Linked DNA regions of Saccharomyces cerevisiae S288C. Changing the gene in region 2 together with the main gene of any one other region gives a genetic interaction. Each region holds a gene or a part of one and is shown on either strand. Other genes may lie near its edges. The genes, in order: HAT1, HOS3, PTC7 and UGA2.

The links.
Region 1: of HOS3 (region 2) and HAT1, extra expression of one rescues a mutant of the other (dosage rescue), as found in Saccharomyces cerevisiae (one study listed by BioGRID).
Region 3: of HOS3 (region 2) and PTC7, extra expression of one is lethal in a mutant of the other (dosage lethality), as found in Saccharomyces cerevisiae (one study listed by BioGRID).
Region 4: of HOS3 (region 2) and UGA2, extra expression of one is lethal in a mutant of the other (dosage lethality), as found in Saccharomyces cerevisiae (one study listed by BioGRID).

The regions. Positions count from the first base shown.
Region 1 is NC_001148.4:550,861-558,740, forward strand, and holds HAT1 (histone acetyltransferase catalytic subunit HAT1), read left to right. Parts: upstream 1-3,744; coding exon 3,745-4,869; downstream 4,870-7,880. Other genes in the region: lipid-binding protein LSP1, read right to left, coding at 1-797; ULA1 (Ula1p), read left to right, coding at 1,160-2,548; ESCRT-II subunit protein SNF8, read right to left, coding at 2,767-3,468; citrate (Si)-synthase CIT3, read left to right, coding at 5,517-6,977; PDH1 (putative 2-methylcitrate dehydratase), read left to right, coding at 7,525-7,880. UniProt on the Saccharomyces cerevisiae protein: Catalytic component of the histone acetylase B (HAT-B) complex. Acetylates 'Lys-12' of free histone H4 in the cytoplasm. The complex is also found in the nucleus, however it is not certain that it modifies histone H4 when packaged in chromatin.
Region 2 is NC_001148.4:325,634-334,703, reverse strand, and holds HOS3 (histone deacetylase), read right to left. Parts: upstream 5,099-9,070; coding exon 3,005-5,098; downstream 1-3,004. Other genes in the region: GTPase-activating protein BEM3, read left to right, coding at 1-2,604; isopentenyl-diphosphate delta-isomerase IDI1, read left to right, coding at 5,974-6,840; mitochondrial 37S ribosomal protein bS1m MRP51, read right to left, coding at 7,042-8,076; putative DEAD-box ATP-dependent RNA helicase DBP1, read left to right, coding at 8,440-9,070. UniProt on the Saccharomyces cerevisiae protein: Responsible for the deacetylation of lysine residues on the N-terminal part of the core histones (H2A, H2B, H3 and H4).
Region 3 is NC_001140.6:247,199-255,390, reverse strand, and holds PTC7 (type 2C protein phosphatase PTC7), read right to left. Parts: upstream 4,291-8,192; coding exon 4,236-4,290; intron 4,143-4,235; coding exon 3,166-4,142; downstream 1-3,165. Other genes in the region: NMD2 (Nmd2p), read left to right, coding at 1-3,017; PPE1 (phosphoprotein phosphatase methylesterase 1), read left to right, coding at 5,750-6,952; QNS1 (glutamine-dependent NAD(+) synthetase), read right to left, coding at 7,054-8,192. UniProt on the Saccharomyces cerevisiae protein: Protein phosphatase which positively regulates biosynthesis of the ubiquinone, coenzyme Q. Dephosphorylates and activates the ubiquinone biosynthesis protein CAT5/COQ7. Also dephosphorylates CIT1 on 'Ser-462', which leads to its activation.
Region 4 is NC_001134.8:245,450-253,315, reverse strand, and holds UGA2 (succinate-semialdehyde dehydrogenase (NAD(P)(+))), read right to left. Parts: upstream 6,307-7,866; coding exon 4,813-6,306; downstream 1-4,812. Other genes in the region: FLR1 (Flr1p), read left to right, coding at 1-753; DSF2 (Dsf2p), read left to right, coding at 2,300-4,510; RCR1 (Rcr1p), read right to left, coding at 6,769-7,410; GPI-anchor transamidase GPI18, read left to right, coding at 7,649-7,866. UniProt on the Saccharomyces cerevisiae protein: Catalyzes the oxidation of succinate semialdehyde to succinate. Can utilize both NAD(+) or NADP(+) as a coenzyme, but has a 2.5-fold lower activity with NADP(+) than with NAD(+).

The DNA.
Region 1 (7,880 bases), 230 kb from region 2:
GCCATGTCTAGGGTCCAAGATTCCAAGGCCGATTCAGCATCCATAATAATTTGGCGAGAAGCTTCATAGCCATCGTACGCTGGTCTAGCTTCACCTGGAGTGACAGGAGAGTCATCTAGCAGCTCCAATAAGGCCTTTCCGTATCCAGCAATCAGGGCAAATTTTTCAGAAAGCTCTCTTAATGAATCAAACATATAACTATAAGCAGCCTTTAATTTTTCACGTGTGATATTCGATAATTGAGCCTCCGCAACCAAAGATTCAGCTTCGGCACGAACTAGTTCTTGCTCTAAAACTGGGATTTTTGTTGATTGAGGATCTTTATATTTCAAATGGGCAATTTCATCTGTGATCTTTTCCTTACGATCTCTCGAAGGTTGAACAGAGGCTTCAATGTTCCTAATTGATTTTAATGTGACTCTGTATTGATCATATTTATCGATGAACTGGTCCTGTAGTTCACCCAACTCATATATTAAGACGCCTAATTTGTCGGTTACGTCGGAAACATCATCATCATTGTCAGCACCCCATAGAGACAGTTGCTTTGCAGCTTCACGGCGTTCGCTGGCAACAACTTCCATAGCTCTAAGGACACCTTTTTCAGTCTTAACCAATTGAGATAATTTACGAGCCAACTCTGGCCCAAAGTTACCAGCCGCATTTTTTCTAAAACTAGACGCAATAGAGGCCTTTCCGAAGAACTTGGACTTCGTTGAGGATGGTGGTGGTGGAGGAGCTTGTAGCTCAGCAGCCGTTGGAGCTCTTTGATTTCTTAAAGAGTAAGTTCTGTGCATTCTTGTGTTGGAGCTTTGAAAGTTTAATCTTTCGTATACCAAATAAAGAGAATTTACGGTCAAGCATTGGAATTGAGGAAAGAGGTTAACTGATTTTTTTCTTTTCTATCTCACCTGTTTATATATTGCGATTTAGCCGTTGCATCTTCCCGGTTTTTCCGTCTTTTTTTTAAAGGGCCCCTTTTTATCCCCTCTAACGCCTTTCGCAATCCCCTTTTCACTCGGCTGCAACGAGCGGGGTTGTAAGAGCTAAGCTTTCTAGCCTAGCAATGAAATAGAAGGACAAGTCAGACGATTGACGTCAAAAAAATGAGTCGCCTCTCTTTCTTTCTTAGGCCAACTAGACAGCCGTAGATGAAAATATGGAAAGATATGATAGACAGCTGAGACTATGGGGAGCATTGGGCCAAGATAGTTTGAACCGGTCCCGTGTGTGCGTGGTAGGACCTGCTACACCTTTGCTGCAGGAAGTTTTTAAGAATCTGGTGCTTGCCGGAATATCATCTCTTACTTGGCTCAAAGTAGAGTGTGCAGTTCAATCGGGTTCTCTGTTTTTAGCAGAGCTTAAAAAAGATCTTGAGCCATTGGCTTCTAAACAGCTAGAATATGAGGAAAATGACCTTAGAAAGACGTTACAGCAACCTCAGTATGATTGGACCCGCTTCTCGGTGGTGATCTTGACTTGTATTGGTGAGCAAACTGCGATGCTCGATTTAAATGAGATTAGGCGGCAGAGAGGAACAAAGTTTCCGCCTGTTCTAAACACTTTCGTCTCTGGATTTTATGGATATATATATCTGGTACTCTCAGAAACACATTTTGTTTTGCAAGCACACCCAGATAGTAAGAAGTATGATTTACGGTTACAGAACCCTTGGCCTGAACTAATAAATTACGTAGATACATTTGACCTAAGTAAAATGGATACAGCCACGTTTTCTGGTATTCCATATACTGTTTTGCTCATGAAGTGTATTGCAAAACTTGAAAGGGATGGTAATAATGGGAGGATAACGATTGATCAGATGAAGAAAGTTTTAGACCAAATTTGCCTTCCTTTAGGGAATGATGTTATCTACGAACCCAATTATGTGGAAGCTAAACGCTATGCTTACTTGGCCTGCTCTCAAAATGATTGTTGTAAAGAACTGGAAGATCTGCTCCGAAATTTGGAAATATCAGATTATGGGAACGATTGGCATGATACTTATAACTACGAGATTCTCACACTATTATTGACTTTGAAAAATATTGCTAAAGAGAATGGGGAGCTCAGCTTTCAACCTTTAACGGGCACTCTCCCAGATATGGAGTCAACAACGGAAAATTATATCAGACTCAAGAAACTGTATGAAGTAAAAGCAAAGCTTGACAAGTCTCGTGTGGAGGAAAGTTTGGCTCGCAGTAAAAAAATAGTTTCACAGGATGTCTTGGAGACATTTTGTTCTCATTACGGGGAGGTCAGGAAAATATTGCCGCCAAAAAGTGACTTGTTAGGTATTTTTAGCACCTCGAATGCCCTTTTAGATGCATTAGTTATGGTCCAATTCTGGGAGCAACCGGCAGTAACTGCAGAGGATAAAGATGAGTTTATTGGTTTACGAGTCGACGATAACTATTCCGTAATGGCCTTTTTTGGAGGTGCAGTGGTTCAAGAGGCTATAAAGCTTATCACACACCATTACGTTCCTATTGATAACCTATTTTTATATAATGGCATTAATAATTCATCCGCAACATATAAAATATAAAATTTTTTCGTCAGCTCTCCGAGTTCATAGAATGCTTATTTTATTGTACTTCCCTGGTTTGCGTTGATGCAAATAAAGACTAAATGTAAACTTTTATGATGCATATGATATCGAATGTTTACAACAACGAGAGATCACCGGTAAGAACTGTGCTCAATAAAATACAACATCGATAAATACTTAACGCTCATCCACCATTCCTGTTCAAGTCAACTATCTCACAGTTGCCTCGTAATCCAAGAGGGATCCCAATACAACGCCTCTGCACCACCTTGATAATCAATCCACAATAAACCGTTAGCGACCATTTCATCAAGAGCAGATTTACTCCTAACAGCCTCCCATCCCAAGTTTGCCTTTAATAAAGAGATACTTGAGTAGCCCAGAATTGAGCATATTTCCAAAATCTTTGTTTGATCTGATGTCAACTCATTTGGAACACTTCGTAAAAACTTTTTGCCGCGAATTTGAAATATCTCAAAACACTCTAGGCTCTTTAGCATGTCGATAGATTTTTCCAAATCATCGAGTCCAACATTCAGCTTACGAAAATGCACCTTCTCCAACTCTTGAAAAGAAATGACGCCTCCATTCATATCTTTAGTTTGCCGACAAATTTCTATAACTTTAAGACATACTTCATAATAAAAATCATTCACTGTAAATAAGTGCTTATCTCGATCAAATAAAGATAGGGGATCAATCCCAATAGATGAGCACATATGCATGAATTTTGAGCGGAATTCAGGTGAAGCTTGAAGCTCGCTATTGTGTTTCTTGGCAAATTCTACCAGTCGTTCTTGGAATACCATTAATTGGTCCCTTAGTTCGACAGATTGCTTTTCAAGTATGGTTTTGTTTACGTCATTGTACTTTCCATCCTTCAACTCGTCAAAGGCTGCCAGTCCAAACTGTTTCATGTTAGTGAGTTTCGAAGTTGGCTGTTACGCCAAGCATTTTCAAGTCGTGGTAAAGTCTTTGGTCTACTGCATCGCCTCAAAAGGTTATAATATATCCCAGAATTGATGGATTAAGTTCTTGAAATAGCACACCGTTATAAGTGATAAATATATTGTCTTCGAATAACGAATTTATTAGATTTCTATGTATTTCTACTTGAAGTTAGGAATAGATCTTTCTGGAATTGTTTTCAGCAAAATTATGCTTAAGCTATAACTATAGTGAGAATCAAGAATATGTCTGCCAATGATTTCAAGCCTGAAACGTGGACTTCAAGCGCCAACGAAGCCTTAAGAGTTTCTATAGTTGGAGAAAACGCTGTTCAGTTTTCACCATTATTCACGTATCCAATTTACGGTGACTCCGAAAAGATCTACGGCTATAAGGATCTCATCATCCACCTAGCATTTGATTCAGTAACATTCAAGCCGTATGTTAACGTCAAGTATTCAGCAAAATTAGGAGACGACAATATTGTAGACGTGGAAAAAAAATTACTCTCATTTCTACCAAAGGATGATGTAATTGTTAGGGATGAAGCTAAATGGGTAGATTGCTTTGCAGAAGAACGAAAAACACATAATTTATCTGATGTTTTTGAAAAAGTATCAGAGTATTCGTTGAATGGGGAAGAATTTGTTGTATATAAATCGAGTTTGGTTGACGATTTTGCCAGGAGAATGCATCGTCGTGTTCAAATCTTTTCATTACTTTTTATCGAAGCCGCTAACTATATAGATGAGACTGACCCGAGTTGGCAAATCTATTGGTTGTTGAACAAGAAAACAAAAGAATTGATTGGTTTCGTCACTACTTACAAGTATTGGCACTACCTTGGAGCAAAATCTTTCGATGAGGATATAGATAAAAAATTCAGAGCCAAAATATCTCAATTTCTGATCTTTCCACCTTATCAAAATAAAGGCCACGGATCCTGTCTTTATGAGGCTATAATCCAATCTTGGCTAGAAGACAAAAGTATTACTGAAATTACTGTAGAGGATCCAAACGAAGCATTTGACGATCTTCGCGACAGGAATGATATTCAAAGACTGCGAAAACTTGGTTATGATGCTGTCTTTCAGAAGCACTCCGACCTTTCTGATGAGTTTTTGGAGTCAAGCCGAAAATCTTTAAAACTGGAAGAAAGACAGTTTAATCGTCTTGTGGAAATGCTTCTTCTTTTAAACAATTCTCCATCATTTGAATTAAAGGTAAAGAATAGGTTGTACATTAAAAATTATGATGCCCTAGATCAAACTGATCCAGAAAAGGCAAGAGAAGCTTTACAAAATTCATTTATTTTAGTCAAAGATGATTATAGGCGTATTATAGAGTCGATAAATAAATCTCAAGGTTAACTGTTTATTAAATATATAATAACATATTTATTTGTTTAACAAGCCTGAAATAAGAAATTCTTTTATAAATACATCATCGAGATGATCATCAAAGTGTCTCTATAGTTAATATAAGCTTATGCAAAGGTTGAAGCCGTTATGTTGTCGTAATTCTAAATTACAGGTTATATTAAAGAGATTATCTTGACTGATATAAAATTTCTTATCATGGTAGTGATCACAAATAGATCACATGATATATTTTTTATTTTTAATTTTTTTTAATTATAAAAATAATTTTTTTCTTTAAATTAAACAAAAATAAAAAATTGTTTTTTGTTGGTTAAGATTTCCGAAAATAGAAATATTATTCAGTTGAAAGACAAAAAAACATAAATATTTCTATGAGCAAACAATTTGAACAGAAAAATAAAATTGGGGAAGTGACACACCATGGTAGCGGTTCTAAAGCGAAATCGGCAAAGCGGCTAAATAGCAGTTTTGATGACTTACTCCACACTGAAAATGGATGACCTTAAATAGGAGATAAAGCTTTTTCATCCCTATGTATTTAAGATGACTGGCTTGTCAAGCATTCTAATCATAAAAAAAAGATCGTATTTGATCAAGAATTTATACATAGACGCCGCTAAATAATTGAATACAAAATGGTACAAAGGCTTCTACCGGGCGCACATATATGCAGAAGGTCCTTCAATTCGTCTGCAATTATAAAGTCTTCTGCATTGACTCTCAAGGAAGCATTAGAAAACGTGATACCTAAGAAAAGAGATGCTGTGAAGAAATTGAAGGCCTGTTATGGCAGCACGTTTGTCGGACCGATTACCATTTCATCAGTTCTAGGTGGGATGAGAGGTAATCAGTCAATGTTTTGGCAAGGAACATCATTAGATCCCGAACATGGCATTAAATTTCAAGGTTTAACGATTGAAGAATGTCAAAATAGATTACCTAATACAGGTATTGATGGCGATAATTTCCTGCCAGAATCAATGTTATGGCTGTTGATGACAGGTGGTGTGCCAACTTTCCAGCAAGCTGCTTCTTTCAGGAAAGAATTGGCTATTCGTGGAAGGAAATTGCCACATTATACAGAGAAAGTTTTGTCAAGTTTACCCAAAGATATGCACCCTATGACCCAACTTGCAATTGGTTTAGCATCAATGAACAAAGGATCCCTCTTTGCTACAAACTACCAAAAGGGCCTCATAGGAAAGATGGAATTTTGGAAAGATACTCTTGAAGATTCGCTAAATTTAATTGCTTCACTCCCGCTGCTGACTGGGAGAATTTATTCGAACATTACAAATGAGGGACACCCATTAGGTCAATATAGTGAGGAGGTGGATTGGTGTACAAACATATGTTCCCTGCTCGGCATGACAAATGGAACGAACTCTTCTAATACATGCAACCTTACTTCCCAGCAATCCCTGGACTTCATAAACTTGATGCGGTTATATACCGGTATACATGTAGACCATGAAGGTGGTAATGTTTCTGCTCACACCACCCACTTGGTTGGAAGTGCGTTGAGTGACCCGTATCTCAGCTATTCATCTGGAATAATGGGATTAGCGGGTCCTTTGCATGGGTTAGCAGCACAAGAAGTAGTAAGGTTTCTCATAGAGATGAACTCTAATATTTCCAGCATTGCACGAGAACAAGAAATCAAAGATTATCTTTGGAAAATTTTGAATTCAAACCGTGTGATCCCCGGTTATGGGCACGCAGTTTTGCGTAAACCGGATCCTCGATTTACAGCAATGCTTGAATTTGCGCAAAAGAGGCCTATTGAATTTGAGAACGACAAGAACGTTTTGTTGATGCAAAAATTGGCAGAAATAGCGCCTAAGGTTTTGTTGGAACACGGAAAGAGTAAGAATCCATTTCCCAATGTTGACTCTGCATCGGGGATTTTGTTTTATCATTATGGAATCAGGGAATTATTATTCTTTACCGTCATTTTTGGGTGTTCAAGGGCCATGGGACCCTTGACACAACTTGTTTGGGATCGCATTCTAGGTTTACCAATTGAAAGGCCCAAGAGTTTGAACTTGGAGGGTCTGGAAGCACTTACCAAAGCAAGCAATGTTAACAAGTTGTAACGCAGTTCCAATTTACAAGAATGCTTCGTTTGCTATTACAATATTGAAATATAAATAAAATTCCATACAGCATGTCTAATCATAGCTAATTTATACATATTCATCATGAAAACATATAGGGGAAAATATGGTCGGTTAACACACCTATCAAAAAATTATTCAGCAATTCCAATCTCGTTAGTAAAATATATTCTTATTTTTTTTTTTTTTCTCTGATTGTATTATTTCTGGAGTTTTGACTTATTTTTTTACCACATCGCGCTTTTCGTCCCCAATCTCTCTGATATATGATGCTGTCTATAGGTAGCCACTTCCCCGATGTCGGACCTCGGGCCGTTTACAAACTTTATTGAGATGACCTTATTTCTCCACATTCTAGTCATTCAACTTTTACCCTCATATGTTTACCTTCACTAATGTGAAAGCATGACCAAAGAAAGTGTATAAGGTATATAAATCTGCCATAATGTATGTATAACTTATTAGGACTTTCTCAAATAGTATTTTGGTATTTTCTACTGTTCTCTGATGATCGAGAGCAAACAGAATGTTTTTAGCCAAAAATCTAAAAAATAATAAAATCAAGGTATGCTTGCCTAAAAAGAAATTTGCTGCGCTGAGTACAGCGTCTATACAAACTAATGAAAGACCAAATCCAGATAAGGTTTTGAAGGACATCGCGAAATATGTCCATGAAACCCCATTAAAATCATCTTTGGCTCTAGATACAGCACGACTCTGTTTCCTTGATACTCTAGGCTGTGGCTTGGCGGCTTTGAAATTTAAGCAGGCTCAAAATATTATTAAACCAATTGTGCCAGGAACAATAGTTCCCAGTGGAACAAAAATATTGGGCACATCTTACGTTATGGATCCAGTGAAGGGAGCTTTTGCCATTGGTAC
Region 2 (9,070 bases):
AATAATTTAGATGAGCTGACTGAAAGTAAAAGTCAACAACTAACTAATGACGCGATACAAAAAAATGACCGCGTTTATTCTTCTATAACATCCTCTGCATACACTACTGGAACTCCTACTTCAGCAGCCAAAAGTCCATCATCCCTTTTGGAAGTCAAGGAGGGTGAAAACAAGGCTTTGGGTTTCTCTCCAGCATCTAAAGAAAAACTTGACGACTTCACCCAATTACTTGACTCCTCATTTGGCGAAGAGGATCTAGTCAATACGGACAGTAAAGATCCTCTGTCCATAAAATCCACGATTAACGAATCTTTACCCCCACCTCCAGCGCCTCCAACTTTTTTCTCACCTACTTCTAGTGGAAATATAAAAAACTCTACTCCTTTATCAAGCCATTTGGCTTCTCCGGTTATCTTGAATAAAAAGGATGATAATTTTGGTGCTCAAAGTGCAAAAAATTTAAAGAAACCTGTGTTAACTTCATCACTCCCCAATCTTTCTACAAAATTGTCAACAACAAGTCAAAATGCTTCTCTTCCTCCAAATCCTCCCGTGGAAAGTTCATCAAAACAAAAACAACTTGGAGAAACGGCATCCATCCATTCAACCAATACCTTGAATACATTTAGCTCAACACCCCAAGGTTCGTTGAAGACACTTAGAAGACCTCATGCAAGTAGCGTGAGCACCGTGAAGTCTGTGGCCCAAAGTCTTAAGTCGGATATTCCATTATTCGTTCAACCGGAGGATTTTGGCACTATCCAGATTGAAGTACTGAGCACATTGTACAGGGATAATGAAGATGATTTATCCATTTTAATTGCAATCATAGACAGGAAATCCGGTAAGGAGATGTTTAAATTTTCAAAATCTATTCATAAAGTTCGCGAATTAGATGTATATATGAAATCACATGTTCCCGATTTACCATTGCCCACGTTACCTGATAGACAATTATTTCAGACTTTATCACCTACAAAAGTGGATACGCGAAAGAACATATTGAATCAGTATTATACAAGCATATTCAGTGTCCCTGAATTTCCCAAAAATGTTGGTTTAAAAATCGCCCAATTTATTAGTACAGATACAGTAATGACACCTCCAATGATGGATGATAATGTGAAAGACGGATCACTTTTGCTGAGAAGACCAAAGACTCTAACAGGTAATAGTACATGGAGAGTTCGGTACGGTATTTTGCGCGATGATGTTTTACAATTGTTTGACAAAAATCAGTTGACTGAAACTATTAAATTGAGACAATCTTCTATAGAACTTATACCCAATCTCCCTGAAGATAGATTTGGAACGAGAAATGGGTTTTTGATCACTGAGCATAAGAAAAGCGGACTGTCAACCTCAACAAAGTATTATATTTGTACTGAAACGTCGAAGGAACGTGAATTATGGCTTTCTGCGTTTAGTGATTACATTGATCCTTCACAAAGTTTATCGTTATCTAGCTCGAGGAATGCAAACGATACTGATTCTGCATCTCACTTGAGCGCAGGAACACACCATTCTAAATTTGGAAACGCAACTATCTCAGCAACCGATACTCCATCATATGTCACTGATTTGACCCAAGAATATAATAATAATAACAATATTAGTAATAGTAGCAATAACATTGCTAATAGCGATGGTATTGACTCAAACCCATCTTCTCACTCTAACTTCCTAGCAAGTTCAAGCGGGAATGCAGAGGAGGAGAAGGATAGTAGGAGAGCCAAAATGAGAAGTTTATTCCCTTTTAAAAAATTAACCGGCCCGGCGAGTGCAATGAACCATATAGGTATTACAATTTCAAATGATTCGGATTCTCCAACATCTCCTGACTCTATCATTAAGTCACCAAGCAAAAAATTAATGGAAGTATCCTCTTCGTCAAATTCTTCTACGGGTCCACATGTGTCCACTGCAATATTTGGCTCGTCACTAGAAACGTGTTTAAGATTGAGTTCGCATAAGTACCAAAACGTTTACGATTTACCGAGTGTAGTTTATCGTTGCTTAGAGTATCTTTACAAAAACCGTGGTATCCAGGAAGAAGGCATATTTAGACTAAGCGGGTCCAGTACAGTTATCAAAACTTTACAAGAAAGGTTTGATAAAGAGTACGATGTAGATTTATGTCGGTACAATGAAAGTATTGAAGCTAAAGATGATGAGGCATCTCCAAGTCTTTACATTGGTGTGAATACTGTAAGTGGGTTACTAAAGTTGTACTTGAGAAAGTTGCCCCATTTATTATTTGGTGACGAACAATTTTTGTCGTTTAAAAGAGTAGTTGATGAAAATCATAATAATCCTGTTCAAATATCATTGGGGTTTAAGGAACTTATTGAATCTGGCCTAGTTCCTCACGCTAACCTATCGTTGATGTATGCTCTTTTTGAACTGCTGGTAAGGATCAATGAGAATAGTAAGTTTAATAAGATGAATCTAAGAAATTTATGCATCGTGTTTTCCCCAACTCTAAATATTCCAATTAGTATGCTTCAACCATTCATCACTGACTTTGCGTGTATATTTCAGGGTGGTGAACCAGTTAAAGAAGAGGAAAGGGAGAAAGTAGATATACATATTCCTCAGGTTTGATGGTCTAAAATTGTAGAAATATAACGTTGCCAGTAAACCTCCATTGATTTAATGATAGAAAGAGGGCGAGATGTATAGAGGCTTCTTTCTTTCAACGATATATTTGTAATAATAAAAAAATGTCAGGCTGATAAAGCTTATAGAGTGACTGTCTTTTTATTCCTCAAATGTTATTTACAATACCATATAATAAAATTAGTATATTGTCAAATAAAATAAGAGAAAAAAACTAACTTCTTGACCAAATGGTCGAAGAGCTGAGATAAAGAAGGAAAAAAATTAAAATTACTAACTATACAAGGAAATATAAAAATAGAAAAATTGTGTTACTAAATACAAAAAAGTAATATATGCGTCACTTCTTTAGTGGGTTCAAGACAACATTATATATGCATTGGTATCACCATCTTCCACCACTTCTTGTTGTATGTTTTCTTGAAACATGAGAAATCATTGATATATCACTATCGTCATAAGTTGGTGTATTTGCGTTTTGAGGCTGTCTTATGCGATGCGGTTTCGTATTGGAGGGAATTTTATACATTCCATTACCTTGTAGACGGCGTTGGTGCGAGTTTTTCCAATTTTTTTCTTTTAGCTCATGGTCTGAATCTTCATCACCTTTTTTTTCAATTTCTAAGGTCTCCAAATGTCTAGAAATATCATCAATGGTAATATCCTCCACCGTGCGATTGAAAGTTTTGTTCAATTCTTCATCGTAAACGTATTCTTCATCTTCATCCTCACTGGAAAATTCTTGTTGCAAAAACGGAATTTGGGTTTCAGCTGCTCTATTATTTGACGAGAGCTGCTTGACCTTGGTATCGCTTCTAATTTCCCTTTGTTCCTGTTTTTCCGTGCTTCTCGGCTTGTTTTCATGAAGTTCTTTTTCTGGGGAAGCGTTGCTTCTATGAGATCTGATTATTCTTTGAGCAATTGTCGACGTGGATGCTGGTTCGACAGTAGCCTTTAGTAGAGAATTAGAAGGTGCGCTGTTAACTGCGTCTTTAAAAATGATATCATCGAATTCCGGTATCATTGCTCGTCCCAGCCTGATAACTTCTTCTGCCCATATTCTTATGACATCTTTTGCTCTTTTTGTCTTATAGGGTTTCCAAGCCGGTTTGCAACCACGAACAATCTCTTTAACGACTTGTTCAGACCCCCATTCTTTAACCCAATCTTGGTTTTGTAAACCGATCAAATGTGCGAAAACACCAGAACATATAGCTTTATCAGAATATCCACCCTCCATTAGAGACAAAACTTTGCCATGACAGTGCATTTGTGCTAATTTCAATGCATCTTTGGTGAACGTTGTATAAAAACTTGTAGGAACGTTGACACTATGCCTTTGCATTGAAGTTTGCTCAAATTCTGATGCATCGAAACCTGCGCTTATGACAACCAAACCTTTGAATGGTCTCCCTTGTTGATTCATTTCTAGTTTTGCGCTCCTGAAAAATTCATCTGCTTTAGCAAATAAAGTTCTATATTTTGTCCTGTATAATACATTGAATTCTTCTTCGGTTGTCCATTTGGATAAGTGAATATTCCAGATGTTTAGGTCATGAGAGTTCATGATACAGGTAGATGCATTTTTAATGTTCTCCTTTGTGGCAAATCCCGACTCTGTTGGAAATGAATTTATATCATGCATAGAAAAATAACCGACTTTGGGAAATTCGGCAAATTTCTTACCAAAATCATCATAAGATGAATCTTCAGGTTCCTCCTCAGGTTTGAAACCCGCACGTTTCCAGCAAATGTCTTGGGTCCCATCACCGTGGTGTAGATCGAAATCAAGCACGACAACATGCGTGACGTTGTAAGTATCATACGCATATTCTATGGCTACATGTGCATTGTTTAACAGACAAAAGCCGGATGGTGTACCATAGTGGCAATGATGACCAGGAGGCCGTATAGCAACAAAAGCTCTGTTACTAATATGTTCTGCAGATGGTCCTTTGAAAATTGAGTCAACACCAGTTTCAATGGCCCCAATTGTTCCCTGTAGAGCTTTAATTGTCTTTGAGCTCAAGTATATATCACCTGAGTTCCAAGTATCTGGGACTTCGATTTCGCCTTTTAGCAATTTAGCATCTGCCATTTGGCAAAGTTCAATTAACTCAGCCGGCCAGCTACTGCCATGAACTTTAAGCACATGAGGTGCCATCAATGAACCTTTCCTTTGATGCGAGGATTTCAAGGTGAAAAGGGATGGATACATTGTAATCGCAGCTGATATACCCATCGAGCTTGCTAATAATCTTTCTGGTCGTTCGACTATAGTTTTCCTATACGATTTTGTTACCCATTCTCTCGGGAACACATGCTGTAAAGAATATGGGGATAGTACTACAACAGCTTTTGCAGATTCCGGTATTTGTGCGGCAGCTCGAGCTGCCGATATGACATTAGGGTTATTTTGAACAAATGCTTGAAATTGCTTATAAAATCTCTCCAATGGATCTGAATGCTTGGAAGACATATTATATCGTCGAATTTCTCTGTTTACTTCCAGAGCCCTTTTTTTCGTTATATTTTCAGTGACTTAAGAAGTATTGGAGAAACTGAACTGATCAACTCCACACGAAAAGAAAGTTTGTAATTTGGAAAAGGACTAGTTTTTCAAAAGAGAAGATCTGATAATAGATCAAGCGATAAAAAAATTAACAAGATCTTATTGTTCAATTCAGAAAAAAACGTAAACAAAAAATAGTTCTTCATGTTTAAAGGAAAGAGTAAAATAGTATTATCCCTTGATTAGTTGTTTACAATTCTTGAAACTTTCCCAAACTGTTGTTTACATTTCTCTAAAACAAAAATAAAAACATGAGCAGGGTAACACTCAAGGGTCCTAAAAAAATTAGGTTTTATTACAGAAATTGTATAGGACATTTTTAATATTACGAGGGTAAATAAATAACAGTCACAGAATAGTATAGGTTATTAAGGGCTTCATGCGGCTATTTTGCCTATATTAATTTCTTTTTTTTTTCTTTTTTCTTTTTTTCCGCTGCTATCGGTAAAAGTTTCCGTTCTTGCTGGAACGAAATGGACAAAACTTAATTGTGATTGAAATTTTTCCAGTCAACAGTTTCGCAATGACGATGCCCAGCCGATTCTTTTCCCTTTAATTGTTATTAAGAAACATGATTATTCATAACTCTTTTCTTGTCGATGGGGGTTGCCTTTCTTTTTCGGTCTTAACTCCATTTATATTTATTTATTCATTTTTATCTATTTAACAGGAAACAGTTTTCTAGTGACAAGAAGGCGTATATCCCACTTAATTCAATATTAGAGTATTCGTATTTGGAATACAGGAAGAGTAAAAATAAGCCAAAAATTCATTACACCTCAATGACTGCCGACAACAATAGTATGCCCCATGGTGCAGTATCTAGTTACGCCAAATTAGTGCAAAACCAAACACCTGAAGACATTTTGGAAGAGTTTCCTGAAATTATTCCATTACAACAAAGACCTAATACCCGATCTAGTGAGACGTCAAATGACGAAAGCGGAGAAACATGTTTTTCTGGTCATGATGAGGAGCAAATTAAGTTAATGAATGAAAATTGTATTGTTTTGGATTGGGACGATAATGCTATTGGTGCCGGTACCAAGAAAGTTTGTCATTTAATGGAAAATATTGAAAAGGGTTTACTACATCGTGCATTCTCCGTCTTTATTTTCAATGAACAAGGTGAATTACTTTTACAACAAAGAGCCACTGAAAAAATAACTTTCCCTGATCTTTGGACTAACACATGCTGCTCTCATCCACTATGTATTGATGACGAATTAGGTTTGAAGGGTAAGCTAGACGATAAGATTAAGGGCGCTATTACTGCGGCGGTGAGAAAACTAGATCATGAATTAGGTATTCCAGAAGATGAAACTAAGACAAGGGGTAAGTTTCACTTTTTAAACAGAATCCATTACATGGCACCAAGCAATGAACCATGGGGTGAACATGAAATTGATTACATCCTATTTTATAAGATCAACGCTAAAGAAAACTTGACTGTCAACCCAAACGTCAATGAAGTTAGAGACTTCAAATGGGTTTCACCAAATGATTTGAAAACTATGTTTGCTGACCCAAGTTACAAGTTTACGCCTTGGTTTAAGATTATTTGCGAGAATTACTTATTCAACTGGTGGGAGCAATTAGATGACCTTTCTGAAGTGGAAAATGACAGGCAAATTCATAGAATGCTATAACAACGCGTCAATAATATAGGCTACATAAAAATCATAATAACTTTGTTATCATAGCAAAATGTGATATAAAACGTTTCATTTCACCTGAAAAATAGTAAAAATAGGCGACAAAAATCCTTAGTAATATGTAAACTTTATTTTCTTTATTTATTTACAGAACTCTGAATATACATTGATTGTTCACATTTTTTTTTTCTCTTCTCAATTTCCCTTGATTATATTCAAAAGGTTATTGGCCTCTTGAATGTTTCCCACTGATGGTCGACGTGCCCTTCTAGAGGTCAATGGTTTATAAATTGGTCTCTTATTGAAAAATTCTCTGGTCTTGTCATTTTGTGGTTCGAGTAATCTAGCGTGCATCGAAACAGAACCATTTTTCTCCATAGATGCCTCCAAGATCTCGAACAAGAACGTTTTCATTCTGATGAAATCTCCCATGGAGTTAAAGGAACTAGGTGGTGATTGGAAAAATACCACATCGGCCACAAACCCACCAATAGCTGCCAGCCATTTATTGTCGTTGTTCTCCTTAACAACGTTCAAGATTCTACCGGGTACTACAGTCCTTTGAATGACACCATTTGGTGAGTTTTTTAGCTTTCCTGGCAAGCTGTATGATAATCCACCTGTACCAATGATTTCAGTGTTAAATTTTTTATTCGTTTTTGTTTCCAACTTTTTGTTTAGAAACTTCACTACATAGTCTTCCAGCTTATTAGAATTCAATTTCAATTCATCCGGATGATTTTCCACCAGCCACTCTTTAAATTCATCTTGAAACGATCTAATTAGTGCTGTTATCTTCTTCAAACGCTTCTTCATAGCAGCAGGCGAAATATCTGTATCTCCTTTCATTTCTTTGAATAAGGACAATTTAGCATGAGACTCATCCTCAGGACGAGATATGTACTTGAAAAATGGATTTTGTCTGCCTATATTAGACACAATTGGTACTCCCATTTCTTGAAATCTTAGCCTATTCCATTGCGTACCGCCTCTAGGTTCGAATGTGGTAATTCTTTCCAACGTATCCAAATCGTTGTACACCAAATATCGAGATTTAATTTTCGAAGGAATAGCGGATTTCAACCCCCATTCTTGTCTGTATAGTGTCGATGGCTTAGTTTCGATGATTTGATGTGTTGGATGAAATTTTTTGCCAGTGTATGTCAATGGTTTATGATTGTTAGCTACTTGAGCTATTCTCGACCGTCCAAGCAACTCTGCCAATGTCATTTCGTTCAATTTTTTCTAAAATAAAGAAAAAGAAAAAGAAAAATGATCGAAACAGTCTCACCAAGGGTTGTAGCAAATGTCTGTATGATTTTTTTTCTTCATCACGGCACCTATTCGTATTGCTCCTTTAACTCTACATCTAAGTTCTTCATTCTTTGATTTCTCAAAACAAATATCACTGTCAACGTAAATATTACCCCGCGAGTTCTTTAACAATTTTAAGGGAAGGTTACTTAAGGTCATCTCTGAAGTAATGCCTTTATTTTATAACAAGGATTATTCATGATTATAAAAGATATCGGTAGTGTCAGTTAAAGGATATTTTAAGAAAAACCCCTTTGAGTGAAAGTATTACAAGAAAAAATGGCAGACTTGCCACAGAAGGTATCTAATTTAAGCATCAACAACAAAGAGAATGGTGGTGGTGGCGGCAAATCATCTTATGTCCCACCGCACTTGAGAAGTAGAGGAAAACCATCATTCGAAAGAAGTACCCCAAAACAGGAAGATAAGGTTACGGGTGGTGATTTTTTCAGACGTGCTGGAAGGCAAACTGGGAACAATGGCGGGTTTTTTGGCTTTTCTAAGGAAAGAAATGGAGGGACGAGTGCGAACTATAACCGCGGAGGCAGCTCAAATTACAAATCATCTGGAAATAGATGGGTAAATGGCAAGCATATACCGGGGCCTAAGAACGCGAAATTAGAAGCCGAACTGTTTGGTGTACACGACGATCCCGATTACCATTCATCTGGTATAAAGTTTGATAATTACGATAATATTCCCGTAGATGCATCTGGAAAAGATGTTCCTGAACCTATACTAGATTTTAGTTCTCCCCCTCTGGATGAGCTGTTAATGGAAAATATCAAACTTGCTAGTTTCACCAAACCTACTCCAGTACAAAAATATTCTATTCCAATAGTTACCAAAGGTAGGGATTTGATGGCATGCGCACAAACGGGCTCAGGTAAGACAGGTGGGTTTTTGTTTC
Region 3 (8,192 bases), on a different chromosome or scaffold from region 2:
ATAAAAATGATGACGTAATTGCCGCTGTTGAGATCATAAGTGGACTTCATCAAAGGTTCAATGGCCGATTTACTAGTCCGCTTTTAGGAGCTTTTTTACAAGCTTTTGAGAACCCCTCTGTTGACATTGAATCCGAAAGAGATGAGCTTCAAAGGATAACCAGAGTTAAAGGTAATCTTCGGGTATTTACCGAGCTTTATTTAGTTGGAGTTTTTAGAACATTGGATGATATTGAGTCGAAAGATGCTATTCCAAACTTCCTACAGAAGAAAACTGGGCGAAAGGATCCGTTGTTATTCAGTATTCTCAGAGAGATTCTTAATTATAAGTTCAAATTGGGCTTTACTACCACTATTGCGACCGCATTTATTAAGAAATTTGCACCTTTGTTTCGCGACGATGATAATTCTTGGGATGATTTAATATATGACTCGAAGTTAAAAGGTGCGTTACAGTCTCTGTTTAAGAATTTTATAGACGCCACTTTTGCGAGGGCCACAGAACTGCATAAGAAGGTCAATAAACTGCAAAGAGAACATCAGAAATGCCAAATAAGAACGGGAAAATTGAGAGATGAGTACGTAGAGGAGTACGACAAGTTACTTCCAATATTCATTAGGTTCAAGACATCTGCAATTACTTTGGGAGAATTTTTTAAGTTAGAAATTCCGGAGCTTGAAGGTGCCTCTAATGATGATCTGAAAGAAACAGCTTCTCCAATGATCACGAATCAGATATTGCCACCCAACCAACGATTATGGGAAAATGAAGATACAAGGAAATTTTATGAAATCTTACCAGATATCTCAAAAACAGTAGAAGAATCACAATCTTCTAAAACAGAAAAAGATTCAAACGTTAACTCAAAAAATATCAATCTATTCTTTACGGATTTGGAAATGGCAGATTGTAAAGATATAATCGATGACCTTTCAAATAGATATTGGTCATCATATTTGGACAACAAAGCCACAAGAAATCGAATATTGAAATTTTTCATGGAAACACAAGATTGGAGCAAACTGCCAGTGTATTCCAGATTTATTGCAACAAATAGCAAATATATGCCGGAAATTGTTTCTGAGTTTATTAACTACCTAGACAATGGCTTCAGGAGTCAATTACATTCTAATAAGATTAACGTTAAAAACATCATCTTCTTCAGTGAAATGATTAAATTTCAATTAATACCATCGTTTATGATTTTTCATAAGATTAGAACATTAATCATGTATATGCAAGTTCCAAATAACGTAGAAATTTTGACGGTTTTGTTGGAGCACTCAGGGAAATTTCTGCTAAATAAGCCAGAATATAAGGAATTAATGGAAAAAATGGTCCAACTAATCAAGGATAAAAAAAATGATAGGCAATTGAACATGAACATGAAAAGCGCCTTAGAAAACATAATTACTTTACTTTATCCCCCTTCTGTAAAATCATTAAATGTTACGGTAAAAACAATAACGCCTGAACAACAGTTTTATCGCATATTAATTAGAAGTGAACTAAGTAGCCTAGACTTCAAACACATTGTCAAGTTGGTTCGGAAAGCTCACTGGGACGATGTAGCTATTCAGAAAGTGCTGTTTTCTCTGTTTTCAAAACCACATAAGATTAGCTATCAAAATATTCCCTTATTAACAAAAGTTCTAGGCGGTCTATACAGTTACCGCCGCGATTTCGTCATCAGATGTATAGACCAAGTACTGGAAAACATTGAGCGAGGCTTAGAAATTAACGATTATGGACAAAACATGCATAGAATATCAAATGTCAGATACTTAACTGAAATATTCAACTTTGAAATGATAAAATCCGATGTTTTGTTAGATACTATCTACCACATTATTCGGTTTGGTCATATCAACAATCAACCCAATCCATTTTATTTAAACTACTCAGATCCACCGGATAATTATTTCAGGATTCAACTAGTCACTACAATTCTGTTAAATATCAACAGGACCCCTGCAGCTTTTACTAAGAAATGCAAACTTTTGCTGAGGTTTTTCGAGTATTATACTTTTATTAAAGAACAACCTTTACCCAAGGAAACAGAATTCAGAGTTTCAAGCACATTTAAAAAATATGAGAATATTTTCGGAAACACTAAATTTGAAAGGTCAGAAAATTTGGTAGAAAGTGCCTCAAGGTTGGAAAGTTTACTGAAATCATTAAACGCAATAAAAAGTAAAGACGACAGAGTGAAGGGATCTTCTGCAAGCATTCACAACGGTAAGGAGAGTGCTGTTCCTATCGAGTCAATCACCGAAGATGATGAGGATGAAGATGATGAAAACGACGATGGTGTCGATTTACTAGGAGAAGATGAAGACGCGGAGATAAGTACACCGAACACAGAGTCAGCGCCAGGAAAACATCAGGCAAAGCAAGACGAAAGTGAAGATGAAGACGATGAGGACGATGACGAGGATGATGACGATGACGATGACGATGATGATGATGATGGAGAAGAAGGCGATGAGGATGATGATGAAGATGATGATGATGAGGATGATGATGATGAAGAAGAAGAAGACAGCGACTCTGATTTGGAGTATGGTGGTGATCTTGACGCAGACAGAGATATTGAAATGAAACGAATGTATGAAGAGTACGAGAGAAAACTAAAGGATGAGGAAGAAAGGAAAGCGGAAGAAGAATTGGAAAGGCAATTTCAGAAAATGATGCAAGAATCCATAGACGCAAGGAAAAGCGAAAAGGTTGTTGCCAGTAAAATTCCAGTAATTTCGAAGCCAGTCAGCGTTCAAAAACCTTTATTATTAAAAAAGAGTGAAGAACCTTCTTCAAGCAAGGAGACCTACGAAGAGTTATCCAAGCCAAAGAAGATTGCATTTACGTTCTTGACTAAAAGCGGTAAGAAGACACAATCAAGAATTTTACAATTACCAACGGATGTGAAATTTGTCTCTGATGTCCTTGAAGAAGAAGAGAAACTAAAAACCGAGCGAAACAAGATTAAAAAGATTGTTTTAAAACGTTCTTTCGACTGAGATTCTTTTGCGAATATAGTTCTTTAAATTTTTACTATATATGCCCACTTATGTTTGGCTCTATTAAATGGCTACGTGTTTATATAGTACCGTTTATGACGCTGTATTTTTATTTACACTGCTTTCCAGGAGATTAAAGAGCGGAGTGTTAGTCAACTCTCACGACAACAACAGTTATATCGTCTTCTTTACCACCGCTGTAGTTTTTGCCAGTTAGCTTAGAAATCTCTTGCGCAAAAACACTGGGGTAATTGGGGTCCTTGCTTAAACTGACAACATTGTCCACAAACTTCTGGGATAATAGCTGTAACTCATCGTTTGTTCTCGCAGCGTTATCCTTCAGAAAAAGCTCAATATCATCTGTGGCAATATTATCGGTTACACCATCGGTAGCCAATATAATAATATCCTTTTTTTTCAATTGGAAGCTATATTCATCAGCGTCTCTGGGGGTGTTTAAAATATACTTGCTACCCCTTCTTTCGGCCTCTTTCAACATTTCTTCTGGAATGATTGACAATTGGTAAGGAGCATTAAATCCAACAGTTTGAAACTTTGTCTGGAATACAAGTTTAGAATCTCTGAAGACTCCACACCAAGAATCACCCAAGTTGGCAACTTCCAATTTTCCATTAGATGGGAAGTGAGCCACAATGGCTGTTGTCCCACCAACCTTCACTACTTTCTCATCCCTAATTTTTGCGTATGCAGCACCAATAATTTTCTTTGGCGTTAAAAGCGTTTCTTTGGATGAATTTTCTGCTAAAGCAGTGCTTATTTCGTCCATTTTTTTACACAATTCTCTTGAGATGGCGCTGGAGTCATACCCATGCTCAGCCCATCCTCCAACACCGTCTGCGACACCGGCAAAAATATCGTGAACGTTGTTTGATGTAACAAAATAGTTGTCTTCTCCTGTAGGTGATCTAATAGAATCCTTTAGTTTTTGGTATATCAGATCGTCTCTGTCTTTTGGTTGGAAAGCTACCGCGGTTTTATAGGTGAACGGGCCTGATTGGCTACCTGAACTATACGCATCACCATGACTGTTGTTCGATTGATACCCACTCTTGGCACTTGAGTAAAAAGTCCTCTTGGAAAAGCTGATGATTTGACTGCAGGATCCTATGATATGAGAAAAGTTAGTCTCTGAGTCGATTAGCATTTGTCCCGCAAATTTAGCAATTAGCACACCAATGAATAAAACAATAAACATACCATAAAGGGGACCTCTCGAGACCCTCAAAGTTCTAAATCCAACGTTTGCAAACATTTTTGGTGGCTTTGTCGTTTGTTTTCTGGACCGCTTTTATTGCATGTGTCTTTTACATTTGTTTACTGTCAAAATGAAGCTCGCGTGTAAATTTGTAGATTGATTACAGAAAGATGTAGCTGAAACCAGCCAAGAAAGAACAATTAGCACATCTCATTTTATAGAGCCTCAGTTTCTGTCGTACGACTGTTGCAAAATATGTAGGTGGAAGTGGATTTTTAAATTACGTTTAAAACGTAGATTGCGAGTCACTGAATGGCAGCAAGCTTATTAAAATGATTAATTTCTAATTTTATTGTGATATAGGCAACTTTGGATAGAGGAAACAATGAGCCGTAAGAGTGCTAGTTACTGTTTTCGCACCGCCGCAATCGTATAGGTGCGTTAATGGCAGTTTAAAAGCTAATACTGCTTACATGAATGTCAACGGCGCCAGCATGGTCAAATAACCGGCAATATGTCCTGCTTCAAAGTTAAATAGTTTGAAGTATTTAGTGCAAAAGTGCCATCTTCTTTCTGGGGAAAGTTTTAAAGATAACATCGTTATTGGTGTAATTTTGAACAACTGCATGATCATGAGTTTACTTGAGAAAGATGGCTTTATTTACTGAAAATCTGCTACTGAATAGAAAGCGCTCTTAAAATCAAAAGGAGAAGAGAACCAAGAAAAAAATTACGCAGATTGTGCCAATTCCAAGATGAGCTGATGCACGATATTTGCAGAAATTTATAAAATGGAAAGATCTGCAAAATATCACGAAGACATCAAAAAATACGATCTTTACACCCAAGGTATTACAGTCTTTGGGTAATGAAATTATCAGATTTGATGGAGGGCTTTTGTGATAATCCTTCTAATTCATAACAAGAACTTTATACGGTACACATGTGGAGAAACAATTTCCTTACTTAGATTTCTTAAAATGAAAGATTTAAAACACATAGAGGAAGCTCAATGGCCGACGCCAACTCAGGATGACAACGGTTTGTTTGTGAATTTGGATGTTTCAAACTCGGATCAAAAAATTCACAACATAATTGAACGGTTGGTCAGGAGAACGAAGAAGTTTTTACAAAGGCTCAAGTATAAGGAATGTCCTGCGCAACGTAATATATACCAGAAGGTCAATCCCAGCCTTGACGTAGTAATATGCCCTTAAACCTCCAGAAAATTCCCCCAATATAAAGTATTGCCGGGAAACAGCATATATACTTACAACAAATAGAATCGTTGGCACCGACATTGAAGTGGACTATGTTCCCCTATGAATTGTTCATAGTAATATTGTAGAAGACCCTATTGTTCTTGTAATTCGGGTAATATATTTGAAATTGTACAATATGCCTATTTAGGGATATCATTAACTGACTGCAGCGGTAATGATCAACTAATGCTCAACAAAGAGTCAAAAATACGGCAACAAACTGGTAGTAACGGTAGGACATTTTCAAATTTTCAATGTCTGACGATTTGAGAAGAAAAATTGCTTTATCCCAGTTTGAGAGAGCCAAGAATGTTCTAGATGCGACATTCCAAGAAGCATACGAGGATGATGAAAACGATGGTGATGCATTAGGTTCCCTGCCATCATTTAATGGACAATCAAATAGGAACAGAAAATATACGGGCAAAACCGGTAGTACTACTGATAGAATTTCAAGTAAGGAAAAGAGTAGTTTACCCACTTGGAGTGATTTTTTTGATAATAAGGAGTTGGTAAGTCTTCCTGATAGAGATCTGGACGTAAATACATACTATACATTACCTACTTCATTGTTATCAAATACCACTTCAATTCCCATCTTTATTTTCCACCATGGGGCGGGCTCCTCAGGTTTATCATTTGCAAACTTGGCCAAGGAATTAAATACTAAACTAGAAGGAAGATGCGGATGCTTTGCATTTGATGCTAGGGGGCATGCAGAAACAAAGTTTAAGAAGGCTGATGCGCCTATATGCTTTGACAGGGACTCTTTTATCAAAGATTTTGTAAGCCTGCTAAATTATTGGTTTAAGTCTAAAATAAGCCAAGAGCCACTTCAGAAGGTATCTGTTATACTAATTGGTCATTCCCTTGGTGGAAGTATATGTACTTTTGCGTACCCTAAATTATCAACAGAACTACAAAAGAAAATTCTTGGTATTACTATGTTAGATATTGTAGAAGAGGCTGCCATTATGGCCTTAAATAAAGTTGAACATTTTTTGCAGAATACACCCAATGTATTTGAATCAATTAATGACGCTGTCGATTGGCACGTTCAACACGCGTTATCGAGATTGAGGTCAAGCGCCGAAATTGCTATACCAGCTTTATTTGCTCCGCTCAAGTCAGGGAAAGTTGTCAGGATAACAAACCTTAAGACCTTTAGCCCTTTCTGGGACACATGGTTTACCGATCTGTCGCACTCCTTTGTTGGCTTACCTGTTAGTAAATTATTAATATTGGCGGGAAACGAAAATCTCGATAAAGAATTAATTGTGGGGCAAATGCAAGGTAAATATCAGTTGGTAGTTTTCCAAGATTCCGGGCATTTCATTCAAGAAGATTCGCCTATAAAAACAGCAATCACTTTAATTGATTTCTGGAAGCGGAACGATTCTAGGAATGTAGTAATCAAGACTAATTGGGGTCAACACAAAACCGTGCAAAATACATAAGGGTTAAATATCACTTTTATATCTTTATTTATGATAGAATAAATAACAGAATATATGAACTCGTGGAAAAGTCTTATTTTGCTGTGAGCACTTCTTCTGTGCTAATCAATAGACATAATGTCAAGCGTTGAGCCTTTATGTGCTTCACACTGCTCGACAACTTCATCAATTTTTCTTGAAGCCCATGGAAATCTTGGGTTGATTAAGAAAGGACGTAAGTCAAATCTGTTGTCTTCTGGTGAATACTGTTCAGCATGATAACTAGGAGTTAAAACAGTTTGCTTGTGTCTGTTGATGGCATAGAAGAAGAAAAATCTTTTCACCTTTTCAGATATTTGACGAGGTGTTAACTTTGGGGACCATTGATGAAGAAGTTTTAAGAACATAGAATAAGGACCACATTTTTCAACCTTTCTTAGGTAACCAAACACGCCCAATTCTTCATACGTCATCCCCATATCTATCTCATCCGATTGAACGTAATCTTTAGTCATAGGTTCTAATTCTGCAGTTGGTGTAGCGTTTAAAAAGTCATTCAAGATTGGCATGTTATATTGTTTTGATGCGTAGGCAATGAATCTTTTCAAGTCAGTTTTTGAAATACCCCCAATAGGGTTGATATCTGCGGAGGAGCAGTCATATTTTGTTAGATACCCACGTAAGCACTCATCAACATTTGCGCTACCAAGTACTAACAATCCACCCGAGTTTGGGATACCACGAACCCACGGCAACAGTTGCGCAAAAAGATAAGAAAGAACCATTCTTAGACGCGCCTGGATGTTTTGTAAAGCCAAGTTCTCGATTTGAGATCCCCCAAATATTTTGTATATTGGTTTTTTGCCAGTGGCTACTTCGAATAAGGACACCACACTGGATACCAATGAGTCCATCTTTAAATCCACGTGGTAAGATCCAATTGCATTGGAAAGGTCCTTTGCTCTGTTTCTTGTCTCCTTGGATGAATTTTCCGTACCCATGAAACAGGAGTGAAATATTTTTGAGGCTAGATCCTGTGGACTGTCTGGAATCCAATCATCGCCGCTACGTGTTATCTTACGAACGTCTTTGATAACTTGCTCATTTCCATTTTGAGCAGCGTCGGTCACTAAACGGCACATAGAGTGGACAATCATTGCAGTTGCACAAGAGTCAATGCCCCCAGATAAGGGAAGGAAAAACCCTGTTCCGTTACAACGTCTTAAATAATCCCACATCCAGCAAGCAGGTCCCAGTGCAA
Region 4 (7,866 bases), on a different chromosome or scaffold from region 2:
AAAGAAACTGGTGATGACAGGTACTATACTGAACAGGATAAACTCGATAGAGAAGTTGATGCAAGAACTTTTTTGATCAATACTTTGTATAGGCCTCTCAAAATGATTATCAAAGAGCCTGCAATTTTGGCTTTTGATCTCTATATCGCTGTTGCTTATGGTTGTTTCTACTTATTCTTTGAAGCATTCCCTATTGTATTTGTAGGTATATACCACTTCAGCTTAGTTGAAGTTGGCTTGGCCTATATGGGGTTTTGCGTAGGGTGCGTACTTGCTTATGGCTTATTCGGTATTTTAAACATGAGGATTATTGTACCACGTTTTAGAAACGGCACATTCACCCCGGAAGCTTTTTTAATCGTGGCAATGTGTGTCTGCTGGTGCCTGCCTCTGTCTTTGTTCTTATTTGGTTGGACTGCTCGAGTGCATTGGATTTTGCCAGTTATCTCGGAAGTTTTTTTTGTTTTAGCTGTCTTTAACATTTTCCAAGCAACTTTTGCATATTTGGCTACATGCTACCCAAAGTATGTTGCATCCGTTTTTGCAGGCAATGGTTTTTGTCGGGCTTCGTTTGCCTGTGCTTTTCCGTTGTTTGGTAGAGCAATGTATGACAATTTAGCTACTAAGAACTATCCTGTGGCATGGGGTTCGTCCTTAGTGGGGTTCCTAACTTTAGGTCTAGCTATTATCCCGTTTATACTTTATAAGTATGGGCCATCATTACGTACAAGATCTTCGTACACAGAGGAGTAGAAAGCCGATGTTCTTACCATGAAAATTTGAATTATAATAACACAATTTTACTTATCGTCCATCTGTCGACAAAGATGTTCCACATAAGTTTACGTAAAGTTTAGCAGTGAAATAAATACTGTTCATAATGAACTTCATTGTTTATAAAAGTTGTTGTTGCAAGTATTCTCATGTTTATTTATCGCAGACTTGAAATCTTTGAAGGAAGATCTAAGGTCTACACACTATCGGTTACTTTGTGACCCTTTGCTTACCATACGGATGAAAAAAGAAAGAGGAATTACTTGAGCCACAATATCCTTCACTCATATTTGAAAATAGTACTTACTAAAGAAATATGCAACCATTTATACACGTAAGAAGTTCAATTATCAAATAGAAATTAAGCAAAATACTCAATTGAATACAGAGCAAAAGGATTAGCCATACGTTCTAGCACATTTTATGGGCCTAAGACATCATTTCCAGTTAACAGATAATATATTTCTACATAAAAACTTGGCTGTTCCACTGTCAAAGCCAAAAAGAGTCATTTGGTCATGAGAGTAGCTATGTTTCTACGACGAATCGAAAAAAAATGCATACTATTGATATCAAAATCATGCAGAAGGAACACATATTCATATATAACTAATCAGAGGATAAATCCTCTTGCGAATAAAAAGTTTGCGATGTTCTGATGCTTCAGGATTTCCTCTTAATAAATTCATATTTGAAGAGCCAAAGAACCAAAAGAATTGTACAAATTTTCTTCATCTATGAGAGGCCTAAAGGTTCGGGTTTGCTGCTATGTATCCTTGCTAAATTTTGATTATATTATGGCATTTATCGCTATTGCGTTTGCTTGCTGTTGCGCAAAAAATAATACAAAATACCTGATAATGTAAACAACGTAAATAATACAGGAAGTGATGCAAGAGAAGCTGCACAAAACTGCAGCATGCCTCACTTCGAAAAAAAAAAAAAAAAGAAGGAAGTCAGAAGAAGCAAGCCGATCTAAGACAGCTATTACCTCTAACAAGTAAGTCATAGATCAGAACGGCAATACCAGCCAGTGTACAATACAGCTGCATTACAACATAGCGTTTCTTGAACTTTTAGGTGACTGCTGGAAAAAATGAACGCGTCTCATATCGTGTGCGATGGCAACACCGGATCCCTGCGCTCAGAACATTCCGTGGACACCCACTGTCACTTCTTCGAGCCCCACCATTCCTTTACGCAGCCTGCGTGTGTTTCTGCGCGTTAAAACAATTATCACAGAAGGCTCCGGACGAAGAGCGGCAGAAAGAACAACGGTGCAACCGTCGTTGAATTTGATTATCAAATCACCTTATCTGCCATCGTGTTCTAGTAGTCTTCCATTGTATTACCACGGACATTCAAAAATAGTTCTTCTTTAGCAACTCTTTTTTTCTGTTGCCATTGCTCTTTGCGATAGCACATTCTGTTCCTCAATGCTAAATATAGGTGGAACTTGTAGGAGCCTCGAGAAAAAACAGAAAATCTAGAAAAACAAACGGACTTTTACGTCACACGAAAAGTAATGAATCAAAATTTAAAAAACACTTCTTGGGCTGATCGAATAGGAAGCGACGATCAAGAAAGAAAAGCTAACTCTTCAGAGGTTTCACAAAGCCCACCACCCAATAATAGCTTCGAGTCATCAATGGATTCACAATTTAGCTATGCTCATTCAAATAAAAGTAGCATTTCATTCGAATCTATTCAAACCACGGAAAGACTTCTTGACAAATTAGACCTCAGCTTGGAAGATGAACTGATTCTGCAAGAAGCTTTATTAGAAGAAGAAAACGCGTCGAGAAATTCGCAACTGTCACAAACAAGTGGTCCAACATTATGTATGCCTGCGTCGGAATTCCCTTCATTAAGGTATAGAACTAATCCCTCTCCAACATATATACAAGCTAGAGATCGTTCTCTTATCATAGACAATTTAAAAGAAAAGGATTCCACTTTGAGAGGCAAATACTCTTCCGGTAAAGTGGAAAGGCATTTGCCCGTGAAGTCGAGATACTCTTATATCGTCGAAGAAGATTATGACTCTGAGACTTTTAGTGGCATGAAACCCCAAATGAATAGAAATGAGAAAGATTATAAGTACCCAAACCTTGAAAATGGCAATAGAAGCACAAATAGCCCTAATCCTTTCAACTTCGAGAAATATAGGATTGAAAATACTAGACTGCACCATCTTTATCCTACGCTGATATCAGACAATAATACTAGCGTTGACAATAATGCTAATAGTAAGAATAACAGAACTACTAGTAATAATATTAATACATCTACAAAAACTGACAGAATATCCGAGAAGCAGAGTTGCCCCAATGAGTTCACAACCACGCAAAAGAGTAATTGTCTTTATCGGAACGGAAGTTCAACAAGCACCAACACCTCCTTTTCTGAAGTTGGACAACTATCAAAGCCGAAAACTCAGTCTTCTTTTGAAAGTGAATCATCCTCATTCTCCAAACTCAAGTTAACTAAGAGTGATACAACACCCATCAAACCATCTCCTAAACGGTCTAATTCCTCTACCTCGACGATAACGAAAACAAATACCATGACAAATGATATTTCATTACCTCCAACGCCACCATATAAAGCTCATAAAAAAAAAACGTCACTAAATTCGCTAAAAAAACTTTTTAAATCTCCTAGGACAAGAGCAAAAAATAAGAAAGACCTTGAGTCTGAAGGATCAAGCCCTATCCGGTCTGCCACCAATTCATTGGACTTCTCTGGGGAGAATATTCAACTTCCATCTACTTCAAGTACCATTAATAATTCCAGTCCACATTTAGCTAGGTATATTTTTCCTCCAAACCCAGTTTTCCATTTTAAAACAGCATCAACACCTCAGTCATCCACGGATAAAAAAAAGAACAGTAAAGCACGTCCAAATAGGACTCATTTGAGAACTTTCTCGGATTTCCATACAACGGAAAAAGATTCAAAAATAGGTGAACTAAGTGCACTAACAGAACAATCAAATAAGCCCTACCACCCGAAAGTTAGAAGAAGAACACTTTCTTTAGATGGTATGTTGCCCAATAATTCGACGCAATGCATGGATTCCTTCAGTCATAAAAAAGAAGGATCGAACGCAACAAGCAAGTGCGGGAAGCTTAAATTTCACCCAGAACCTTATGATAATGATGAATCTTCACACATCGGACAGGCAATTACTATGCGTCATCAAGGCAAACTTGAAGAATCTGCACAACGACTGAAAAAAGCCTGCGCGTGCGGAAACAAAACTGCGTTTCTGTTATATGGACTAGCCCTGCGACATGGCTGCGGAGTGGACAAGAACTTGAAATTATCATTAGGATATTTAATGGCTGCCACTGATATCAAATCCTTTGCTGCTGAGGTTCTTGATTTAGATATAAATCCGTTAAATTTTGCTTCAATGGACGATATCCCTGATATAGCGCCTGAACCAACAGCACCTGCCTTGTACGAATGTGGTATGGCATATTTAAAGGGTCTTGGGATGGATCATCCCGACGAGCGAAAAGGTTTGAAATTTTTGGAAAAAGCTGCTCTATTAGGCCATGTAGACTCAATGTGCTTAAGCGGGACAATTTGGTCCAAAACTTCAAACGTAAAGAAAAGGGATCTCGCCAGAGCTGCTGCATGGTTTAGGATAGCCGATAAAAAAGGTGCAAATCTATTAGGTTCAGATTGGATTTATAAGGAAAAGTACATGAAACAAGGTCCGAAATAAAGATAAAGAAACGTTGTATACATAAAAGCTTACAGAAAGGCTTAAAAGGAAAGGCATTTATTTTCGTACCATATATCTCACAAAAATAGATAGATAGATAGATATGATATTTTATGAATGGTATCACTTATTCCGCTTGTGAAAAACTTCAAAACTCCGTAAATATATGAACTCTTTTCTTTCAAAAAATTTACTTAACTTTCTATATACGAGGAGTAGAGTATTTATACATGCAATAGATATATACAATCATTACAAAGAATCATATTCAATTCTAAGTATCGTCCACGATTACTATTGCTTTAAATGCTGTTTGGCAAATTCCCAATTGTGATGGTCTTCAAAACAGTGTAATCTTCAATACCATATAGCGAACCTTCTCTTCCAAATCCTGACTCTTTAACACCACCAAATGGTATAGAACAATCCGAAAAAACACCTGTATTACATGAAACCATACCAGTTTCCAAAGCTTCAGACACAGTGTATAAAGTGTTGACATTTTTAGAAAAGACATATGCTGCTAAACCAAACTCAGTATCATTAGCATATCCGACAACTTCTTCCATAGTATCAAAAGAAAAGATTGGACATAATGGACCAAAAGTCTCCTCCTTGGAAACAATAGCTGTTGAGGGAACGTGTGACAAAATTACTGGAGCATAAAAGTTAGGACCTAACTCAGTTAAACGTCCACCTTCAAGCACAACTTTTGCTCCCTTATCAATGGCATCCTGTTTATGTCTTTCAACTTTTTCAATAGCGCTGGAGTTAATGACACAACCATGTGTAGTTTTTGGGTCCAAACCATGGCCAATTACGAATTTTTTGACCCTCTCCGCGAGTAATTTCGCAAATTTATCAATTATGGATGAGTGAACGTAAAGTCTATTTGCGCACACACATGTTTGACCCAAACCCCTAAATTTACAAGCCATGGCTTGTTCCAAGGCTTGATCCAAATCGGCATCCTCAAAGACTATGAAAGGGGCGTTACCACCCAGCTCAAAAGACAGTTTCTTCAAAGTAGAAGAAGATTGTTTCATCAAGATTTTACCGACGTTTGTAGAACCAGTAAAAGTAACTTTCTTGACTTTTGGTGATTCACATAATGTTTTACCAAGCTTTGGTGTGTTGGCATGTGAAAGAATAACATTAAACGAACCCTTGGGAAAGCCTGCCTTTTCAGCCAAATATGCCATTGCTAAAGCAGATAGCGGCGTTTGAGAGTCTGGCTTGATGACTACTGTGCAGCCCACAGCTAAAGCAGCGGCGGCCTTTCTCGTGATCATGGCGCTCGGAAAATTCCATGGACAAATTATACCGCATACACCAACAGGTTGCCTAATTGTGAATACTCTGTTGTGAGGGTTCAAGGGTTGAATAGTAGCACCATATAAACGGGGTGCTTCCTCGGCGTACCACTCAAAATACGAAGCCGCGTATTTGATTTCTCCTTTAGCTTCCCCTAGAGCTTTACCATTTTCTAAAGTAATGATGGTTGCCAGATCATCCAAATTTTCAAGCATTAAGTTATACATGTTTCTGAGCCACTTTGCCCTCTCTCTTGGTGTTGTATTCTTGTACGTCTTGAAAGTTTCATAGGCAACATCAATCGCTTCCTCAACCACGGAGACTGGTTGTTCGGGAACTCTTGCTATGATTTCGCCGGAAGCAGGGTCTACCACCTCAAAAACTTCGTCAGTGCCCTTAACCCATTTTCCGTCAATATAACCAGATTCTCTGAATAAATTAGGGTCGTTTAGAGTTGGTTTAGAATACTTACTCAAAGTCATGTTGAAATAGTAGTTTGTAAAATTTGCTTTTAATGTAGCTGGTTTTCTAGCTTAATTGATCAAATAAGAACAGAACAATAAAGGACGTTGCGAAATAATATCTATTGATCTCTGACGAGTATTTATACCCTATTTCCTCTCCATTACTGATGGTGATGTGATGTGATGTGGTGCTATCTTGTCACCCTTAATCCATTGGCCGCCTTTGCTAATCCCGCGCGCATTTTCCCTTTATCACCACCACGCCGTGCGATGGACTTGAAGTATTTACTATTGATAAAATAATACTGAGAGATTAAAGACAATGTACTGAATATAAACTATAGCACTTCAACGACCGCGGGCCTGAAGCGGATTAGGAATTAAAATAATTATTATAGAGATTGGGTAAAAAAATGTAAATATTTCTGGCAAAATATTGTAACTCAACTGTAAGAGGACAGCCGGAAAAAAAGATTCAGTTCATGACCTTGCATTTACCTTTGCCCTCTCCGGTGGGTTAATTTCCTGCGTTGTAGTCCCGCCCGGAAGCCTTTCCAATTGCTCCACCGTATCACTTACAGCTGGAACGCGCCCATTGCTAGGCCTTGTTAAACCGTAATCCGTATCTAAAGAGTTAGCTTGGTGAACTACAGCAGCGGGAGGTCTTTCTAAAGAATTAACAGATTCTGATGAACATTCTTGTACCAATGGCGGGGGGGCCACGTATGCAGCCTTATCGTTGGGGTGAAACTCGCCCCGCTGGTCATAGTATCCAAGATCATGTTCGTTCGCTGTTTCTGTATACTCAGGAACATAATCATCTGTCCGTTGCTGAACGGTCCCAGTATATTGTTGCTGAGACTGTCTGTATGAAGGCGGTGTCAACCATGCCGTACCTCTAATGGGAGCACGCCCCATCCTTCGTCTCCTTCTGTTCGCTACAAAAGTGAACAGTATTATAAGGATTACTGCGGCAACAAACAGCACAAACAAAATCCATATTCCTGACTGCCATGACGACGATGATGGCCCATAGTAACTAGTCACAAATTTGCTAACGTGATGGTTATCTGCCTTTTTCACCTCGTTTATCGCCTCATTTTCGTATGAAATAAGTCCCATTCCTTATTCTTAATTCGAGTTATACTTTCCTATTTATTGGAATGATCAATAAGCTATTACAGGTGCCTTTTCTGCATGAGCTTCCTGTCGGTCATTTAAATACTTAAAATAGAAAATCCCTTTTAAATCAAACTTTTTTTTTCAAGGCTTAGTTGAAAAAAAAAGTAAGCCTCATCATCGAAAAAAGACATAAAAGAGAGGCTTCGAGAGAGGAGGCGGAATAAGACTAAATTAAAATATGATTGTGGGGTTGACACTTTATTTTGTATTATTCCGTTCAATACAGTATTTACTGGTTTTTTTGACTCCAATTAGGCAGTTTGATACATCAACATCACTTTTATTAAACGAATTATGTTCTTCTCCCTCTGAAATCAACAGTTATTGGAACAAGTATTTTTGGAATAAGCTACTATCATGGGACAGTGTTTTTTTTATCAAGAACATAACTTCCAA